4 linked regions of the Oryzias latipes genome follow. The protein of the gene in region 1 binds, or shares a complex with, the protein of each later gene. Links are inferred from orthologs where the notes say so. Each region holds a gene or a part of one and is shown on either strand. Other genes may lie near its edges.

Region 1 (5,836 bases):
TCGAGACGCTCTTTATTACTGCCCTATTGAGGCAGCATTCAAGAAATCTGTCCCACACTACATCAACCCATTCACATCTGTAGCCTGATTAATGATGTAAGGCAAGAAAACTCCCTTAGAAAACTCTTGGAAAGTCTTTGCTTTGCCAGACGCAAGCATATTCACAACAGACTTGTGCAATAAGGCTTCCTCAGACACCAGAGTGTCTGCAATCCCTTGCCCATCATCCAAAAGTTTCAGGTTAATGTTTACAGGAACTTCACCAGCATTAGAAAATGTTGTAATGTTTTCAGCAAAAGTGACATCTGAGCCATGTGATGCTCTGGTGCTTTAAATGTAAACATTTGAAAACAAGGAAGTTCCCCATCTTACAATCTCTTCAATACTGTTTAGTTTTCGTTTTCGAAGTTTGGCTTAGCAAAGGTCATCTAATCCCAACCACAGCATTGTCCGCTTTACTTGACAACATACAAATCATAAGCAAAAACTTGTAAACGAATATCTTATTTTATGGTTCCTTTTCTTTTGGAATAAAAAGAACGTTTGATTGTTATAAAAAAAAATCAAACATTGAGTACCAGGTTTATTGAAGTGTAATGTTTCTGAAGCTGCAGCTAAACTGATAAAATAACAAAAATTCTAGTGATAGCAGGAATTTGTTAGTTGCACACTGGATTACTTTATGGAATTTAAAAACACATAGATGGCACACTCCTCGTCTTTCAGAAATGGATTCTGTGAACATTTGTGGTCTTAACGCCACAGAGCATTTTTCTCTTTGCACAGGCTAACGGTTTATACTCTCAAAAGCGCAGACAATAAACTTTGTTCCGTCAAACTCTTCATGTGCCATCTGTCAGAAATGATAAAAGTCAAACTAATAGCACCTGTGCACCATTAGCAGGTTTTAAAGTGTGGCTTCGCATGCCCTTTCTATTCTTGAACAATCAAAACACACAGACGATGCTTTATTGCACCTCGTTTCCAAGGGTGAATGATATTTTCTCCCAAAATTACCAATTCCTGCTCCATCTAAAGATCTCCAATCTGACTGGGACTGATAAAGAAATCCACGTTACATATTTTGATTTACAGTTTAAAATGATGTTGATATAAATCTGTCGTCCATTAGAAACTAAAGTTTTTATTGCAACACAGGTGACTGCTTTGAAAGCAGCAGGACGATAAGAGAAGGTTCTCATTTAAAGGGTCAGGAGTGACTTAAGCTGATTTTCGCCTGTTGCGTGGAAACGGCAATCCAGGTGATATATCCACAAGTGGCAGTAAGCCAGAATGGGGACTGGCATCAAGGTTGGTGGAGCTGATGGACGAGTGTCGTAGCAGCAATTGCCAAGCTGTTCATACGGTCATAAATTACATGTTTACAGCCGGTAGAGGCTTGGCGCACTCGCCAACTTCTCTTCTGAGGTGAGCAGCATATTATCATATCCAATCAGATTCCTGCAACTGTATTAAGAGGTTTAAGTGGCCATTTCTATAAACCTACCTCCAATACAGGCATGGAAATGTTTGTATTTATAGAGTTCAAATTCAGAAAGCTTAAGTTGCTTGATCATCAGTATTTTATTGAATGTAATCCTTTTTACAATGACATACGTGCGCTGCAACTCTTCATCTGAAGTCACACGGCAGCAAACGTTTACTCCCCTCAAAACATTTACAGTGGAAGTTTAGTCCTATGAAGGTCACACAGATGGCGGTATTAACTGAAGCATATTACAGCTCGTATTACCTGCAGTATTTACAGTAGAGACCATCAGGGAAGATACCACCAGTTCTCTGGAAGCCTGCACTCACGGGCATACAAACAGCGCCACACTTTCAAAAATTGGTCCTGCATGAAATGCTATGCCGTAATTTCAGGTTTGTTAAAGTTGGAAAAAATATGTATACATATATATAAAATCCATTATACATTATTAATGATAATATGATTCATTTTGGAGAGTCACAGCTGCAATACGGACAAAAAATACTGGCCATATCAACCACAGCAACTTCAGAATACCCTCGTGTAACAACCACCCCTAAAAATTATATTAGAAAAAGGGTGAAACCATGGCATCCTTGTACAAAACACAAAAAAATCATTATGTTAATACAAAATAAGAGTATTGGAAATATATAGTAATATTTATATATATATTTTAAACTGTATTTACACTAAGAAAGATGTGCATAAACATGGTGCTGCACATCTGCTGGGAGTGTGTTGGGATTGGACCAAATCTCATCAGGTGGTGAAAACAATCATATGCATACACACAAACATTACAAAAACGGACGTGATTTGGTCAGCTCTCATGACCAAACACTGGAATGATCGAGGTATAGAGAAAAGTGAATCTACTCCTGCTAATACAAAGTGCCCCGTAAACATAGTCCACATCTGCAGTCTGCGACTTGAGTTCCACACAGTATCGCAAAGTTCCTCTCTCACAGAGCACCAGTGTTCTTTCGCTTCATCTCTAGGAGCGTGGGGAGAAATTCAACCCCATGAGGCAGGGAGTAGGGGGAACGTCAATGTTTGAAGGAAGATGAGGTATCAGCGTTTTTTGATTGCTGCCCCATTGGAGTGAGGAGGGAACTTTGGCAGGCAGGGCTCCTCTGCTCCAGCATCGTGAGAGAACACAGAGTCTTCACCAGAGGAGCACGTGGAGCTCCGGGTGTCAGGATAGCTGGGAGAATATTGGTCCAAAGGAACAGAGAGCTCTAAATACTCCTGCAAGTACACAGGGGGGGGGGTCAGAAACATTTGATTTCAGACAGCACTTACAGACTCTAGAGGGGGACTGACCTGGTTGGATGTCATAGCTAGACAACGATCCAGGTCCTCCACCAGCTGTTTGAAGGTGGGCCTTTGAGAGGGAACTGCATGCCAGCAGTCCCTCATCATCATGTACCTGCAGAAAAAGATTTTTTTCATGAAAGGTAAAAACTCGACTTTTAAAAACAAAATCATTTGGTTATTTCCAAAACTCAAAAATTAAGAGCAGCACATTTTAAGACAGTAATGTTAAATATTGTTAACCAAGTCTAAGATTTGTGACTAGGTTTTTAACATTACTTACATTTTTTAACACACTAATGATCCTGAAAACTGAACCAACAGGCAAAATCTGCTAAAAAGCAGTGATGAAAATGACAATTTATGATTTGGCAAAAACAGAGATCGGTAAAGGATTTCTGTAATTTGCTGGGTCAGCAGACAGAGGGTTACAGACTCAAACAGACTGAATAAACTAATCTGCAAGGCCGGGGACGTGGCGGGAGTGAAGTTGGACTCCTGAACGGCAGTGATGGAGCAAAAAATGCTTTAAAAACTGCAAAGCATTGTGGATAACTCCACCCATCCCCTCCACCAGCTCCTGGACCAATACAGGAGCACAAGGACAGCTAGACTAAAAGGTTTCTCAACAAGGATCAAACGCCACAGAATGACTTTCCTTCTTGTGATAATAAAATTGTATAACTTTCATGAAAGCCTGCTAACTTCATAAAACCACCTGACAGCATTATACATTTCATTTTACACACTGCTAATGTGTATTACACTGCATTTGTCTTTTCTTAGTTTGTGCATGTTGAAATTTGGTGATCGGAGCTCTGCTAAAAATGCTTCTTCCCTCTGGGATAAATAAAGTATTCTGTTTTATAAACTCTGAGTTCAGAAAATACAAAGGCTCCTTACAGTTCATGAGTGCACGTTGAAGGCTTGTCCATGCGGTGACCTTCCTTCAGCAGCTTGAACAGCTCCTCTACTGGCACACCCGGGTATGGAGAGCCTCCGAGGGTGAAGATCTCCCAAAGCAGCACTCCAAATGACCATCTGAACAAATAATGAAGAGGAGTAGCACCATGAGCGGCCGAAGAGATCGATTTTTCCTTGTTATATAACAGTTTTAAAGGGTAGTGGAACATGATACTCACACATCACTTTGATGCGTGTATATTCGATCAAATAGTGCCTCAGGCGCCATCCACTTGACTGGTAAACGACCCTAAAAACAAAAAGAAACGTGTTGTTAAATACATTTCCATGTTCCTTTTGTAAGTCCCTTTTTAGTTTAATTCATGTTATTGATCAGATCAATTACTCACATTGGTAGTTTTCTTGTAATAATCAATGTGGTGGATGTCCCTGGCGAGGCCAAAGTCAGCTATTTTCATCACATTGTCTTCAGTTACCAAAACATTGCGAGCAGCAAGATCTCTGTGAATGCACTGGAGGAAAAAAAGGTCTGAACGAACGTCCCATTTTAAATGGACTTGATTTGAGTGCTTTGCACAGCTGCAAAATAGTGGTCGTGGTGTTTTTACCTTTTTAGAGGCCAAGTACTCCATGCCTCGAGCCACTTGGTAAGCACAAGACACCAGGTCTTTGATGGACATGGTCTCCACTGAAACCTGGTCTGGGTTGTAGCAGTACTCCATACCAGGGGGGCGGCGAGCACGCAGGTATTCCCTCAAATTTCCCTTGGATGCATATTCCACTATCACGTATAGAGGACCTGGAAAAACATGAAAGAAATGAAAACCTTAAACAATGACCCAGATCTGAACCACTTTTTTTTTTTTTTTACTTGTCCTGTTTAGCAGCAGAGCAAGCAAATAAAACCATACGGCCTCCTGCGTTGGACAGATTTTACTGTTATAATAAGGGTTTTTGTATCTTCTGACACACAAAGTGTGTATTTGTATAAACCCCTTTTGTAATTTGAGGCTAAGCTTTACTTATAATAATTATTTTGATATGCATTCCTTGTTGAGCTGGATGGAAAAAAAAAAAGGGAAGAGTGGGTTGTTAAAGATGGGGCATAGGGGTTTAAGATGGGGGAGATGGGGAGTGTCAATAATACAGACATAACAAAGAGTGTCATAAGTAAACTGTCCGACTTAGTTCTTACATAACCACCCTTACGCGCACTAGAACTCCACCACAAAAAAGGAGCAGGAGGACAGTACTCAGCAGCCCCGTGGCAGAGAAGTAGGAGGAAAAGAGAGCGCACAGAGCCCCTGCCAGGGTAGAGATCCTGCCCCACCTCAAGGTGCTACAGACCTAGACCCAATCCTCCGACCACACAAGACCTATGCCGATGCCCAGATGAGAGACATGCCATCGCCCAGACGTCCTGAGGGGGCCCCTGCACCCAGAGGCAGGCCATGACCACCAATACCCAGCCTGCACTGCACACCCAAGCAGCTTGCCTGCCAGCCCCACCGTGGACAAACTGGGGGAAGTGGCAAAAACTGCCCGCCCAACGAGGAAGGTGGACACCGTTGGCCAGCAAAGGCTCCAGATAGGGCCAGGATCAGGCTCCAGTTGCTGTGAGCAGTGATGGAAAAATTGCGTTGCCCCGGTGTGCCCAGAAAAGGAGCTTTACCCATCTTCTCTGGGATATGGTCCACCCAACTCAGATATTGTGGACTCACTCGCCTCGCGGAAAAAGTGCTGCAAGGTTAGGGGCGCAGGAACCCCACGGACGCCCTGGCAGCAGCCGCCAGCCAGCCTAACCATTTTGGAGGGCGGTAGACAAGGAACAACGTGACCATCTCCCTCTGACAGTGTGCATGTGTACGAAAGGGTTGCAATTAATATCGGTGGACCAGCACTGTACAGACTCGGTTCTTCAACAGAGGTATCTGAACTTCATGTAACAGGGTGAACCGTGTTCTTATTTCACAAGCCGTTGCCCGAGAAGAGCTATACTGAGCAGTGGAAGATGAGCAGTTGGAGGAAAAGCCACCAGACAACCAAATGCTAGGAGCGACTGGTCGGAGGAGTGCTCCAGGACAAGCAAGCGCTGGACTGACA
Region 2 (3,656 bases), on another chromosome or scaffold:
TCTGCAACTTCTACTTGGAGATCAGATCAGATGGAACCGTGCGCAAAGCTGCGAGCAGAACATCATACAGTGAGATGGGCTTTTATTCTAGTATCTTCTTAAATGCTGTGCACTGGTCTTCATTTGGATTTATCTGGAATAACTTGGCGCTAAATCTTTTTTATTCAATCTTTCCAGGTGTGATTTTACTTAAGTCTGAAACGAGGGATCGAGTCGCCATCCTTGGAGTCAAGAGTAACCGTTACCTGTGTATGGATCTGGAGGGTAATCCATTCAGCTCGGTGAGCATACAGTTCATCCTTTTCATTTTATTAGTCAATGCCGACTAAATCTTGATCTTTGATCGTCTTTTCTTTTATTATTATTTAACTCCATGAAGTTTTACGCACCCCCTCACACAATTCTTCTCAACAGGGCCTGTAGACTTAAAAGATTGATCCAAAATAGGTATTATTGATCATCCGAGCAGCTTCTTCAGAACATGTCTGAACTGTTAAACCGTGCGTGAAAACGCACTATTTTTACGCACAAACGCAGCATCGGGTCCTTTAAAAAATCCGGTTTAATTGTCTGACTACCTGCTTTCTGCCTTAAAGTAGTTAATATAACGATTTGGTCGGATCTCTGCCACATTTGCAGAGTTTATGAACTTAAAAATCACAAAAAGTCTGTTTGTTTAAAATACCCGACGCAAAAAAAAACATGAAAAATGTTTTGAATGCACCAAATAAGACGAATACAAACAATTTAAATAACTTTACATTTTTGTTTAAAGTTTTTTTTTTTTAACCAAAAACAGTTTTTCCATGCGTAAAATTCTTTTCATGAATGGAAAATGTACTATAGATAAACATGAATTTATTTTTTAATTCGAATGCACTGAATCCAATGAAATTCCTCTCCGTTCCCCCCTTTTTTAGCCTATTTGCCTCAGAGAGGAGTGCCTCTTCAATCACAAACTCCTGGAAAACAACCGAGACGTGTACTACTCCACTCGGACCAGCATCTTGTTCAACCTGGAGGGGTCCAAACAGGTGTACATCGCAGGTCAGAACGTGCCGCAGACCTCCCTGTTCCTACCCAAGAAGAACACGGTGCCGCTGGAGCGCCTCATCCCGCACAGGGAGAAGAGGAAACGGATCGTGGATCCCTCGGACCCGCACGGAGTCTACCACAGACCGGCGGAGGAGGGCTCCGACTCTCGGGCTGTGGCGGAGCAGGACGACGCCGACGTGGAGGTGGAGACAGAGATGGAGATGGAGGTCGGTGATGACGGACGCAACTTATCCCGGGAGAGACCGCTGGTTCCGTTCAATGACGACCCCTGGAACGTGAATTCGTTCAGACAGTCCAGCCCCCGAGGCACCGGAACAATGGGCTAAGCCGGTGAAACATTCAAATATAAAGCAAGCTTTATTTTGAAAAACTGGCATGAGAGTAACACTTCTGTTGCTTTGCTTTCACACTGACTTTGCATAGTTTAGTTAGTGCTAAATCTTTCTGCAGTGTGTTTTTACACTGAATGAACATTTTTAGACTTGACTTGATACCTTTTGCACAATTCTTGAAAACTCTTATTTCCAAAAACTTAATTCCTTTTTACAGAGCCCTGGACAGGACTTTACAAAAAAAAAAGACAAAGAAAAAATTTGCATTTCTTCTGGCCCCCATTAGTATTTTGTAAGCATATGTTAGTTTTTTTTTGGCCACAAATTAGTATTTAGGGGTTTCAAATGAGAAATAAAGATACTAAAATACTATTTTGTGTGCCCAAATTACTTATTTGTGCACAGAAATTAGCATTTTGTGCAAGGAAATTAGTATCTGTGGGTGCAAATTAGTGGTAGGAATGGAAGATACTTAAAATGCTTATTTGTGCCCATAAATGTACACACAAAATGCCAATATGAGTCCTCAAAATGCTAATAAAATGATACTTTTGTCATGTCCAGGGCTCCTTACCTTCCCATCTTCTTCTAGTTTCCACAACTTCCTAAGAATTTCTGCTCTTTAAATGTCAAGATGGTTAAGATACATTTATTTTCCCCCCACAAATTTAGCTGATATCCTCTGCAACTCAACCCATATTTTTATGAATTTGTGTTATATCCTGTTTATTTACATTGTTCAAATGTTTTATACAATCTTAGGAACCCATATTCATGTCGTCTAATGACAAACCAAATTTAGTCTACCTCTGGAGGACTGAAGGGTTTGACCGCTGAACTGAAACCAGCAGGCATGAACAAATATGAGACTATTAAAAAATGCAATAGGATTAGCCTTCATTTTAGCCTTCTTTAAGTATTTCAGCAGTTTGCTTTATTAATTATGAAGAAAGTCGTCTTATAACAACATCTGAATTTTCCCACCAGTAGGATGGAACTCATAACTTGAAAGAAAAGGACAAACAGGGTCAAAAAATAAATGTTAATTTTGTAGGTGACTGAGTTGTTCTCATCAACAGCAAACACACAGCAGTCCCTAAAAGTATTTATTTATTGAAATATTTTCCTTTCACTGTTTATTTATAGTATTTATGGTAATGTTGGAGTTGTACATACAGAAAAAAAAGATTTGCTTTGAATGTATGAGCTGGAATTTAATTTAGAAAGAGTTTTGCTTGAATTTGGGACCAAATAAAGTTTAAAAAAGTCATTTGTTTTGGATTTTCTTGTGTTTTTTATGCTTCAAACAATCTTTATCTTCATCGTTCATAATAACTGAAGATACTACATGTAGGAGCTAAAATGTTTTGGCTGTTTTTGTCGCTCTTGTCCACCTTTTTCTCATTGTAAATCAAGCTTATTACATCATACAAAGAAAACTTTTTTCTCCCACTGCTATTTTTTATAGAAATGCAAAACAAAAAGCATAGACTGCAATATCTTTTGGTGATAGAAGCGCATCAGATGCAAAAATAAACCCATTGGCTTTTAAGGAGGCTTAGAGGTCCATCCATTTTCCTAACCTGCTGTATTCCTTTTAGGGATTTAGGTGTTTTTAATGTTCTTGTGGCATTTTTCTTATGATGGAGTTCACATATAAGGCAAATTAGACTGAAAAATCCATTTCTGGGTACCTCTTTACTCAAATTGTAGGGAATCAGGAGCAGATTAAAAGATATAAATAAAAAATGGAGCTTTTTGTGAGCGGGCCACAATCTTCCTGTGCCGCTCCATTCCGATGCATCCACTTTAGAAGGCGACGAGATACATGTACGTCTTTGTCCCCCCTGCAAATCAGAAGGGAATTTCTAATGAACTACTGCCGCTCTGCAGAAACTATGTCCTAGAAAACAACACCGTATTCTAGATTTTGGCTAAAAACAGGATCATCACAGTTGAAAAAACCCAGCTTTTTGAGCTCTCTTTTGAGCAGACGCAGAAGAAGCAGTAGCGGCAAGTGAGCAGAATGAGGGTGCTGTTGGTTTGTCTGCTTGTTGGAACTGTTACCTGCGTTCCTCAAGGAGGTGGAGCTTATCAGCCCAGAGGGTATCCTCCATTCTCTGGACAACTTCAGTCTGAGCCAGTCTATGAAAGGCCTTCCGGACAGTCGGGTATAGTGGCACTCCGGGATGTTTTACCAGTGGAACCTACACTACAGGAGGCAGTGGAAGTCCTCCCATGTGCTACTCTGCTTCATATCCTGAACAA
Region 3 (5,058 bases), on another chromosome or scaffold:
AAATTACAGCTTTGGGGTTTCTTTTTGTGAATGGCGCAAAAAGTGGGTTGAAGAAATAGCCCAGGTGTTTTCATTTGTTGTTGATGTTGATGGAGCAGAGAGGAGATTATTTCTCTTACTAACTCTTATTGTTGGTCGCTTGTTTTATTTTTAAATATCTTGTACTTATAGTTAAGTTGGTCTCCACCAATCAGTCTTGGAGACTCAATCACACGTCATCAGTCTGACCAATCAGAAGTGGTTAAAGTCTTTACTTCCTTGTCCCGATTCTGCTCATAAAGTCTCTCAGTTCCAACAAAATACCAGCTAAAGCTCGTCTTTAGCGGTGTAGCTTTCCGCGGGATCCGGTATCAGACCGTGGAACAAGTGAACAAAACAATGAAGCTCAGAGAGGCTAGTCTTTCTGTGTTCGGCGGCTAATTGCACTACACCTCCCATGATGCATTGGGTTAGAGTGACAGCGTCTCAGCGTAAAATGAGTCTTCGTTGTTAAACGTCTTGAAACCAAAACGAACACACATCAAACAGTTTTTAAATTATTTAACTTAACTTTTATTACATCTTTTAGCAAAAAAAGCTTCAGCTTCCAGCTTTTTCTGCCACAATTATCACAAAAAATGCATGTGGGATTGCGGAGGAGCTGTAGATCAATACAGACAATGAGTTTCTCCTTTTTATTTTTATTTTTTTGGATGCTGGTGTGCCGTGGGATTTTTGTCAAGGTTAAAGTGTGCCGTGGTTTAAAAAAAAGTTGAAAAACACTGGCTTCCAGCCCTTCACACCTCCAAACTAATATTATTGGTGTAACAAAAATGGTGAGCAATGTTGGAGCTATCCAGCTGTACAGTTCTGAGCCAGATGCCAGTTTAGACAAGGAAAACAAAGACGTACATGGATCTATTTGTCTAGAAGTGGATGCAATGGAATGGAGCGGAGCAGGGATTTTGTGATCCGCCCAGTGTATTTTCTACATCACATTTAAGCTCTATTTCAATCATCTGCTCCTAATTCACTACAATTAGAATAAAGAAACACTCAGAAATGCAGTTTTAAGTTTTAATTTTCTTTATATATGTCCTTAATCATAAGAAAAATGCTATAAGGGCGTGTTAAAAAAACAATTTTTATTCTAGTGGGTCTTTAAAATGTCTTATTGTCATTGTTTGCACAATGAAAGTATCTTTCATCAAATCATCTGTTTTGTATTAGTGAAATGTAAAAAACAATTCTCCAGCTTGAGTCCTGATGATGCGCTTTGTGTCCACCAGCATCTCTGTAAAGGAACTGAAGTCTCTGCTTCCTGTGCTGAACTACAAGGCCCCCAGCTCTCGGACGTTCAAGGACAAACTGCTGGTACTTTTCCTACTTTCTCGGCTTTGAGACAGTTTTTAGAAACAGGCTGCTTTGCTTTGTGAATAACCACTTCAATAGAAGTCAAGCTGATGTGGTTCATTCTGCGTTTCTTGCTGCCCGCCCTTCTGTTCTGCTTTCACAGGAAGTGGGCATAAAGAAAGATCGTCTGGATTTTGAGCAGTTTCATAAGTTTTATAATCTGATCATGTTTGAACAGAATGAGGTGAGTGGTGACTACGTCCACAAAAGAAAGAAAGAAAAAACGTTCTAAAACTGAAGCCGTGGTGTCAAACATTAATGTAAAGAAGTCCAAAATAGTGGCAGCCTTATATTTTGTTTTACAATATGGAATAAACGTCTTGGCAGAGTGGAATATACAAAAATATATTTTGTGATGCTCTAACATAAAAAACAGTGTCAGTCAATTTAGATAGAGGTTGCAAAGTTGAGTTCATTAAACAAATAACTAAATAAATCAGTCTGCTTACATGTATTTTATTGTGAAGAGGCAGATATAACCCCAGAGGTTTACAGTTTTTTCAACCAAAAGGTCAGACCAACTTTCAAGCATGATGGTGGAGGGCTCATGGTTTGGGCTGTTTTGAAACCTCAGGACCGTACCCTCTTGCAGTAACCTTGATTTAAAAAAAGGCAATAGCATGCGAATAAACTGAAATGAAGATGTAACCCTGTGAAGGCCCTTAAAAAAATTGACACATAAAAAAAAAAAAATCAATTTTTTGGGATTAAGATGATTTTTAAGAGGAAATCCGCAAAACAATTAGCAATATAGTTTTATATGAGATATAGATATAATTGAACTTTATTTGTACAGCACTTTTCCTGCTATACAGATCTCAAAGTGCTTCCCATGGTTAAATAGATACTAGTAATATAAGTAACAATAGTAATATGTAGGTAGTAATGTTAGTTTAGATGTAAAAATATAGTTTAAGGTAAAAAGCACCTTATTTCCCAGCGTCTCAGAACTGATCCATCCATACAAAAGGTGTATCTGGATTAAAATGAATGAATAATTAAACATTTGAAAATTATCAAAACGTTTCCCGTCAAAACTGTTTTTGAGATTTCATGGAAGCAGACATTTTGAAATGAGGAAAAGGCCCTCTACTGCCCCTAGTGGAATGATAATCCACCATTATTCCACATGTACCAAGTTACAGGTTTTTAAGTAAAGTGTGTATCATGCTAATGAAGTAGGGCTCTCAGAAAATGCCTCTTTAAAATATAATACCAATGGTTTTATTGGTTTAAATACAAGCAACCCAAGATATAGTCAGACTGTCATAAAGGAGGCGATTGCTTCAGGTTATTGCTGCCAAAAGTGTCGAGTCATGGAGTATAATTTATTTTTTAGGAAAGGCTTTGGCCCAGTTTTCATTTAATAAATAACCTAATGGTTAAAAAGTAATGTTCTGTTGACAGTTGAACTTCTTATTTTAGACGTAGATTGTATTTTTTTTTTGTTAGTTTTCAGACGTGTCTTTAAGTTAGGCGTGCTTCCTTCCCCCTCACATTGTTTATTGATGTCTGTTTGTTTGTTTGTTTTAAAATCAGATTCTTGATGAGTTCAAAAGAGAAGCCTGTTCTTTTATTCTGGGGTGAGATGCAGTTTCTCTTTAGCGAGATTCCCCTGTTAGAAGCGGCCTGTTTAGATCCGTTTGTTTGTCTCTCCTGTCGTCCAGTAACACGGATAAACCGGACGCCTCTGCGGTGCTCCTGCACGATTTCCAGCGCTTCCTCATTTATGATCAAAAGGTAAAATTCAACTGGAATGCTATGAAAAGGTATAAAACGCAAAACAAGATATTACAAATTCTATTACATATGCTTTCAATAAAAAGATTTAAGAAACAAGCCAAACTGTTTTAAAGGCTGAAATGCAACATAAAACGAATCATTTGTTTATGGTCCTTGATAAAAGTGCACACACTTTAAACTATATTTAAGTTCTACACTTTCACAACTGACATATAGATTTCTTCAGAAAACTAAAATGAAGCGTTGTTAAATCACACTTGATATTTTTATTCTTTTTTTTTTTTCATTTACCTATTGTTTTTTTTTGGGACTTTTAGATGTTTTCTAGTTTAAAAAGTTTAAGATTTAAAATAAAGTGCTAAAAATATTTACAGTCAGATAATATTGCACCCAAAAAGTTTCTTAAAAGTTAAGAAATGTATCCAAGCTCTGCCCTCTTTATTTTGTCTGTTGTTTAAAAATGATGGACCAAAACATGAAGTCTGCTCCACAGGACTTATGAGTAATGAATAATGTTTTAAAGATTGTGTTTTTGGTGTTTTGTCATGTTGTTGTGGCATTTTTCTCACGATGGAGGACATATACAAAAGAAGATTTAAATTTAAATCGCAGTTCTGAGTATTTCTTTATTCAAATTGTTGTGAATCAGGAGCACATGAAATAACATTTCCCAGAACTCCTGCCGCTCTGCAGAAACTATGTCCTAGAAAATGAAATTTGGCACAAAAACAAAACACCGTAATTATGAATAAAAGACCACAGGGGGCGCTTTAAAAATAGATCATAAGATGATTGGAGTGCGTCATTAAATGATTTATGTTACCAAATAGTCACATTTATGCCGTGTTAACACAATTCTTGGGTAATTTCAAGTGTTTTGGGGATTATTTGTTAAATTTTTTGTGCTGTTTTGAAGGATAATCTTGTGTTTCTGCTACGGTTTATCTCAAAGCAACAAAACGACAAAAACATTTCAGCCTTTAAATGTCTAAAGTCATTATCAGGGACAAGCTTCTTTACAGGCCTGTTTTCATTAAAAAAATGAACTAAAATAAGCTTTTTCTTTCCTTTTTTAGGAAAGCTGGGCCAACAATCTGAACCAAGTCAGAGAGCTGATGACCACATTTATCGACGACACCATGAGAAGAACCAACGATCCAGAGTTCACCGTCAGTGAGGTACACTCAGAACGTTCCTGTGCAGGTTTTGCCTGCCGTTGAATAAACCTTCGTCTACTTTGGCTTCTGTGGGCTTCAGAAGCCTCTGAACCTGCTGGGACTGAGGTTGTTTTAACAGTAGATTGATTACCAAAGAGAAGAAGTCAAACGGGGACCTCCGAGCCTGAAGTGACTCACCTGATGCACAAGCTGAGGCCTTTTTTCCGCTTTCAGTTCCTCGGGTTCCTGTTTTCCAAGGAGAATGCCGTGTGGGATGAGAAGTACTCCGAGATCAACAACCTGAACATGAACAATCCTTTATCACATTACTGGATCAACTCCTCACACAACACGTGAGTTCTGCTCCACGAAATAACCACACATGCCTGAGCTGCGCTCTCCATTATTTTCAGTATTTAAAAAGTGGTTTTCCTGCCTTTCTGATCATTCTCTGCTTGTCTCATATTCTTGCTTTACACTTTGTTTTTGTTCAAATCCCAATTTTATTGAAATTGTTTGTCACAATGACCTCTAATTTGTCTTTTTTTGTTCAGTTCTGTGTATCTGTCTGGCTCCCTAAAGGATAATATCTTATTTTAATGTTTCAAAGTCATACTTTAGTATTAGGTGCGTCGATCAGCATTATTTATTTCCCTGCAATAATTTTCATTTGTTTTACTTCTTTTTTTTAAATGTATTCTTAATTTCTATAGATTTTTAAATCTTATAGACAGAAAAAAAATCCTAAAATGTCCTAAATGTATAC
Region 4 (4,793 bases), on another chromosome or scaffold:
AGGTAAGCAGTGGGTTAGTTAGTTAGTTAGTTAGTTAGTTAGTTAGTTAGTTAGTTAGTCAGTTAGTTGAGGTTTTAGATGTTAAATATTGCTACAGCACCATAAGTGAGGACATGATGTCACTGAAGTCCCAGTGGCATTGTCATAGATGAGCTCAACAGAACAAAAAAGTATCAAATTTGTCTGTGAGTAATGTTAGATAAGTTGGGTCATTGTTTTATTTTATCATTTTACTCTGGGTCATGCATGGCTCTACAGTCTGATGAAAATATGCACAAGAACAGCCGTTTCCTTCACAAATACATTTTTGTGTAGACACCCCCTGGTGTCTGGGGTCAATGAAGCTCTGAACAGTAACCTGCTGTGCATGTGATGGCCTGATGGGGTAATTAAAACTTTTTCATGTCTTCTGATTGGAGGAAAATCATACGATCCTATCACTGTTTTGTGTCTCCAGCTCTGGGTTACTCTGTACCCACCGTGCCCAACGGGGTAGGTAGGCTGCCCTCTGTGGGGGAGGCCTCATCCCACCCCTCCACCCGACACCCGTCTGTGGCCAGCACCCGCCTGCCATCTGTGGGGGAGGAGTCCACCCACCCACTGCTGGTTGCCGATGAAGGGGTAAGCTCTGTCTGATCATGTTGGGGTTACATTATGGAAAGGAGGATAATGAATAATGACAATGGTGGTTGTGGTGATGATAAAGATTACAGTGGAGAAAATAAGTACTTGATCCCTTGTTGATTTTGCAGGTTTGCCCGCTTAAAGAGAAACTGACAGTCTGTCATCCTAGAGGTCGGTTCATTTGTACAGTCAGCGATTAACAAAGAAAATCAAGAAATCTAATTTAAAGAGTGCATTTACATTTATTTGCATTTCATTGAGGCAAATAAGTATTTGATCCCCCAGTAACCATAAAGAGTTCTGGTTCACACAGACCAGTTAGACTCTCCTATTCAACTTGTTACCTAAACGGAAGACCCCTGTTTGAACTATTCACCCGTCCACAGAATCAGTCAGACTCCAAACTCTCCAACATGAGGAGCTTTTAGTGGGTTTAGAGGGAGAAGGTTGTAGACCTGCACCAGACTGAATGGTCTACAAAACCATCAGCAAGAAGCTGGGGGTTAAGATGACAACTGTTGCTGCCGCATGACCTGCTGTGATGTCCATGATCATGACTACAGAGAGTAATCGGACTAAAACAACGCAGCAGGAGTCAGTTGATGAAAGCACAGTCACCAAGAAAACCATTGGTAATACTTTACACTGCAATGGTTCTTGCAGAGCTCGCTAAGTAGTTGTGCTTAAGAAGAATGTCCAGACTGCCTGAAGTTCAACAATGAACACCTTCAGGATTTAGAGAGCGATTGGGAGAAGGTGATGTCAGATGAGACCAACACGCACCCGTCATGTTTGGAGGAAATCTTCCAATAACCTCAAGAACACTGTCTCCTTTGTCAAGCATGGAGGTGGAAACATGCTTTGGGGGTGTTTTTCTGCACGGGGCTACTGCACTGTGTGGATAGGAGGATGGATGGAGCCGTGAACCATCAAATCCTGAGTGAGAACCTCCTTCCCTCCACCAGGAGGATTAAAATGGGCCATTGATGTAATGAGCCAAAACATACAACCCAAAAACCCAAGGAACAGTTAGAGAAGAACCATATCACATTCATGGATAGCCCAGCCAGTCTGTGGACCTCTTATAGAAAGAGAGCTGAAGCTCAGAGTTGCTAGGCAACAGCCACCAAATCTGAATGATTTAGAGATCACTTGTAAAGAAAAGGGTTTGACCACAAAATACTAAATCCTTCCAGGAAGAGGGTTCAAATACTTATTTCCTTCAATGAAATGGATTTAAATCTATATAAATTCTTTAGTCAATGTCTTGATTTTCTTTCTGATTTTCTATGAACCGACCATTAGGACAACAGACTGTCATTTTTTTTTGTTTAGGTGTGCTAAATTCATGCAAAGGATCAAATACTTATGTTCCACGTTGTATGACTGACAAAGGTTCTCATACATGATGTTTCCAGTCGGTGAGGGTGAACCTCTTTGTGTTAAAACTCAGTTTCCCATGATCCTGTGTAACAGCCAGCAGGTCCAGCTCACTGATCAGAAAACACTACAATCCTGTGATTTCAGGAAACACAAGAGCTCAAAGATCAAACAGGTTTTCATGAGAGCAGTGGAGATGTACGCTGATGTCCCTCTTAAAGACCTACAAAATAAAAGCATCCGTGTTTTTTACAAGTCTAGCAAAGGAAAATCTATATGAGAGCGGTGAAATGTAGACGACGCTAAAGGGAGAAAGCCAGAGCGGCACCGCAGAGTGTGAAGGTCCAAGTCCTCGTCTGATAGGAGGCAGACCTGTGGGAGGGTCTTTTCAATTGCTGATGCGTTCGGGGAGTTTCCCCCCACCCCCATGACTGTCTGTGGGTATTTGATGATGACTAGAAGCTGGTTGTGTGTCTGCAGGTGCATACGTACGTCAACACCACGGGGCTCTTGGATGAACAGCCCAGTCCTCTCACCCTCACCACCCCCCTGGAGAGCCCCACCTCTCCACAGTCCCAGTGTCCTCCCACACCCCCCCCTCCGCCCAGGACTCGCACGGAGACGTCGGAGGCGCTCCCCCCGCCCGAGCCCCAGGTACTCCTGGAGCCTCAGGGGGTGCGCTTTGTGCTTGGCCCCACCCCCGTTCAGAGGCAGCTGATGGAGCAGGAGAGGAGGCGACAAGAGTCGAAGGAGGCCGAGGAGCCCCGAGAGACTGAAGGATCGGCGGATGCGGAGCCCGCTCCACCACACTCCAACGGCTCCACCTCCAACGTAGCGGTGGCGTCCCGCCGCCATCGGCCCCCCCCACTCACCCCTGACCTGCAGAATGTCAACAACTCCGCCCAACGGCGCACTGTCCTGCTGGACTACGAAAACCTGCCGGCGCTGCCTCCCGTCTGGGAGACAAGGAAACCAAGCGCAGAGGAAGAGGAGGAGCACGCCGGGCTCAAGACGCCGTCGCTCAACGGCTACAACCACCACCACCACCCCCACAGCCTGCTGCATCACTCCTACTCCCACCCGCTGTCCGCCACTTTTGAGCCTTCGCACAACTACGTCAACACAGAGAACGTGACGGCTCCACTCAGCGCGCACCGCCCAGAAACGGCCCGCCGCCGCTCTGATGGACCCACCATCTTCAACTTTGACTTCCGCCGGCCGCCGCTGCCAGGCCACTTGGAGCCCCCCAAGACCCTAAACTACATCGAGGTGGAGATGGAAAGTTGCGGGAACAGAGGCGCCTCAGATGGGAGCAACCCCCATACGCCCCGCACCCCTACCTCCCCGCTGCCCCCCACCACGCCCACTCGCCGCACTGAGCAGTACACTCTGATTGACATTGAGCGCACTGCCGCCATGTCTAGCCTGCAGAAGGCGCGGCCACGCGACGATGGAACGTCGCGCAAGACCAGGCACAACAGCACAGAACTGCCCACCAAGAGCACGGCGTGACTTGCTGCTGCCACCGTGAACGGCGGGAGGATGGGTGGATGGTCAGTAGACGGGACTCGGTGCACACTTGCCCGTGCACACATGCACGGCAGATGAACTCTCTGGCGTGACACCTGCGAGAACTATGATGTCACAGACTGCATTCCTTATATGGTACACATCAGTATTACTGAGCAGCATTCCATTAGCCTTTTTGTACGAGTCACTCCGCTGCGGCGAGACGACGCTCTGCTTCAGTAGATCTGACGCAATAAAGTCTGGGTTCTTTGTACCAGCGACGGCGCCTCCTGTCCTCCCTCCCCTGTAATGGCCGTGACATGAAGTACAGATGGTTCAGCAGTAGGAAAGCAGGTCTAGGACAGGTAATACCGACTGCTCAGTGCGACGTTACCTGTCCTAGAGCTGTTAGTGAGCAGGTCTACGTGCATCTAGCTAACAGTTTGATAACCGTGTGAACAGAAAGCTGGTGGAGCCAAAGTCCTCCGGCACTTGCAGCTTTTTCTCCAGGTGGAACCACAACAACTTCTTGGTTTGACTCTGTCGGGTTTTGGGAATTGCCTTCAGTTCTTATTGTCTGACCCAAACCCCAGTCTTTTTACTATAGCAGAGCTCAGCAGGCCCAGTAGTTCCAGTCATGTGACCTGCGAGCTGCTGGAGGGCAGCTCAACATGAGGGCGCCATTCAGACTGTGTGTAGCTATGCAGCAATATGAGGAGAAGCTTCTGCGTTTAAATTCACCAAATTTTATCTTTACGAAGTGCTGAAAAAACTAAAAAGGCAGCTGGTCTATTTAACCCTTGTGCTATCTTAGATGGGGGTCACCTAAGACAGCACAAGGGTTTAACAAAGCATCAGTTCAGACAAAACTTCTCCCTTTTTCTCCCAGATTTTTTTTCCAGTTGATGAAGCTAATGTTTATTTCTAAAAGACAATGTCTTAATATTCTCTCCTTAAATTGTCTTCTGCTGCATCCCAGTCTTCATAGTCATCAAATTCACCTAACAGGAAACTATAAATCCCGTTTTCTACTTTACTGCTGTTGTGACAAACTGTAGACGTCTGTCCACCTATGTTCCAAGATTTTGTTGTTCCGGTTTCCAAGTGGTGTTTGGGCCGGCGTAATGATATGGAACATTCAGCCTATGTGACTGGAATTTCTTTTTTAGCTGTTCATTATCAATTTTGAATGGACACCGTGCAGCCAATCAGGACTGAGTATTCACTCAGACCATGGTATAAAAACATTTAATACATATTGATGTGCACTATGATTGCAA

What was found.
Region 2: the proteins of fgfr1 (region 1) and fgf23 are in contact, whole or in part, in a cryo-EM structure (PDB 7YSH), measured with the Homo sapiens proteins. The link is inferred for Oryzias latipes from reciprocal best matches to the Homo sapiens genes FGFR1 and FGF23. Residues at the interface, in NP_075598.2 of Homo sapiens: Glu159, Lys160, Glu162, Lys163, Lys164, Leu165, His166, Ala167, Val168, Pro169, Lys172, Gln244, Asp246, Val248, Glu249, Arg250, Ser251, Pro252, Val279, Tyr280, Ser281, Asp282, Pro283, Gln284, Pro285, His286, Ile287, Ala314, Gly315, Val316; in NP_065689.1 of Homo sapiens: Leu31, Leu32, Gly33, Ser34, Trp36, Gly37, Tyr43, Ala45, Thr46, Ala47, Arg48, Asn49, Ser50, His52, His66, Ile75, Arg76, Ser77, Glu78, Asp79, Ala80, Gly81, Val83, Val84, Tyr93, Phe108, His117, Gln118, Thr119, Asn122.
Region 3: the proteins of fgfr1 (region 1) and plcg2 are in contact, whole or in part, in a cryo-EM structure (PDB 8JQI), measured with the Homo sapiens proteins. The link is inferred for Oryzias latipes from reciprocal best matches to the Homo sapiens genes FGFR1 and PLCG2. Residues at the interface, in NP_075598.2 of Homo sapiens: Lys504, Asn506, His541, Lys542, Lys598, Ser602, Tyr605, Gln606, Arg609, Glu612, Tyr613, Ser616, Lys617, Lys748, Asp755, Arg756, Val758, Ser762, Gln764, Glu765, Tyr766, Leu767, Asp768, Leu769; in NP_001412678.1 of Homo sapiens: Phe528, Arg540, Thr568, Phe569, Pro570, Asn571, Phe577, His585, Cys586, Arg587, Arg589, Ser590, Thr591, Met592, Gly595, Leu601, Thr602, Asn604, Leu622, Arg623, Cys624, Ala625, Glu626, Phe627, Glu738.
Region 4: the proteins of fgfr1 (region 1) and frs2 are in contact, whole or in part, in an NMR structure (PDB 1XR0), measured with the Homo sapiens proteins. The link is inferred for Oryzias latipes from reciprocal best matches to the Homo sapiens genes FGFR1 and FRS2. Residues at the interface, in NP_075598.2 of Homo sapiens: His409, Ser410, Gln411, Met412, Ala413, Val414, His415, Lys416, Leu417, Ala418, Lys419, Ser420, Ile421, Pro422, Leu423, Arg424, Arg425, Gln426, Val427, Thr428, Val429, Ser430; in NP_001036020.1 of Homo sapiens: Asn25, Val26, Asp27, Asp28, Leu33, Leu47, Thr49, Arg50, Asp53, Ser54, Val55, Trp57, Leu60, Cys61, Leu62, Arg63, Arg64, Tyr65, Gly66, Tyr67, Asp68, Ser69, Leu71, Ser73, Phe74, Gln81, Thr82, Ile86, Phe87, Ala88.

Annotation. Positions count from the first base shown.
Region 1 is NC_019867.2:20,588,469-20,594,304, forward strand, and holds the end of fgfr1 (fibroblast growth factor receptor 1 precursor), read right to left. Parts: intron 4,533-5,836; coding exon 4,342-4,532; intron 4,246-4,341; coding exon 4,123-4,245; intron 4,023-4,122; coding exon 3,952-4,022; intron 3,851-3,951; coding exon 3,713-3,850; intron 2,925-3,712; coding exon 2,819-2,924; intron 2,744-2,818; coding exon 2,567-2,743; 3' UTR 1,566-2,566; downstream 1-1,565. UniProt on the Homo sapiens protein: Tyrosine-protein kinase that acts as a cell-surface receptor for fibroblast growth factors and plays an essential role in the regulation of embryonic development, cell proliferation, differentiation and migration.
Region 2 is NC_019881.2:17,687,817-17,691,472, forward strand, and holds the end of fgf23 (fibroblast growth factor 23), read left to right. Parts: coding exon 1-281; intron 282-920; coding exon 921-1,382; 3' UTR 1,383-2,657; downstream 2,658-3,656. Other genes in the region: fructose-2,6-bisphosphatase TIGAR B, read right to left, coding at 2,909-3,235. UniProt on the Homo sapiens protein: Regulator of phosphate homeostasis. Inhibits renal tubular phosphate transport by reducing SLC34A1 levels. Up-regulates EGR1 expression in the presence of KL. Acts directly on the parathyroid to decrease PTH secretion. Regulator of vitamin-D metabolism.
Region 3 is NC_019864.2:27,982,233-27,987,290, reverse strand, and holds part of plcg2 (1-phosphatidylinositol 4,5-bisphosphate phosphodiesterase gamma-2), read left to right. Parts: intron 1-1,268; coding exon 1,269-1,353; intron 1,354-1,495; coding exon 1,496-1,576; intron 1,577-2,931; coding exon 2,932-2,975; intron 2,976-3,059; coding exon 3,060-3,132; intron 3,133-4,211; coding exon 4,212-4,313; intron 4,314-4,526; coding exon 4,527-4,645; intron 4,646-5,058. UniProt on the Homo sapiens protein: The production of the second messenger molecules diacylglycerol (DAG) and inositol 1,4,5-trisphosphate (IP3) is mediated by activated phosphatidylinositol-specific phospholipase C enzymes. It is a crucial enzyme in transmembrane signaling.
Region 4 is NC_019864.2:4,355,110-4,359,902, reverse strand, and holds the end of frs2 (fibroblast growth factor receptor substrate 2), read left to right. Parts: intron 1-457; coding exon 458-621; intron 622-2,484; coding exon 2,485-3,516; 3' UTR 3,517-3,794; downstream 3,795-4,793. UniProt on the Homo sapiens protein: Adapter protein that links activated FGR and NGF receptors to downstream signaling pathways.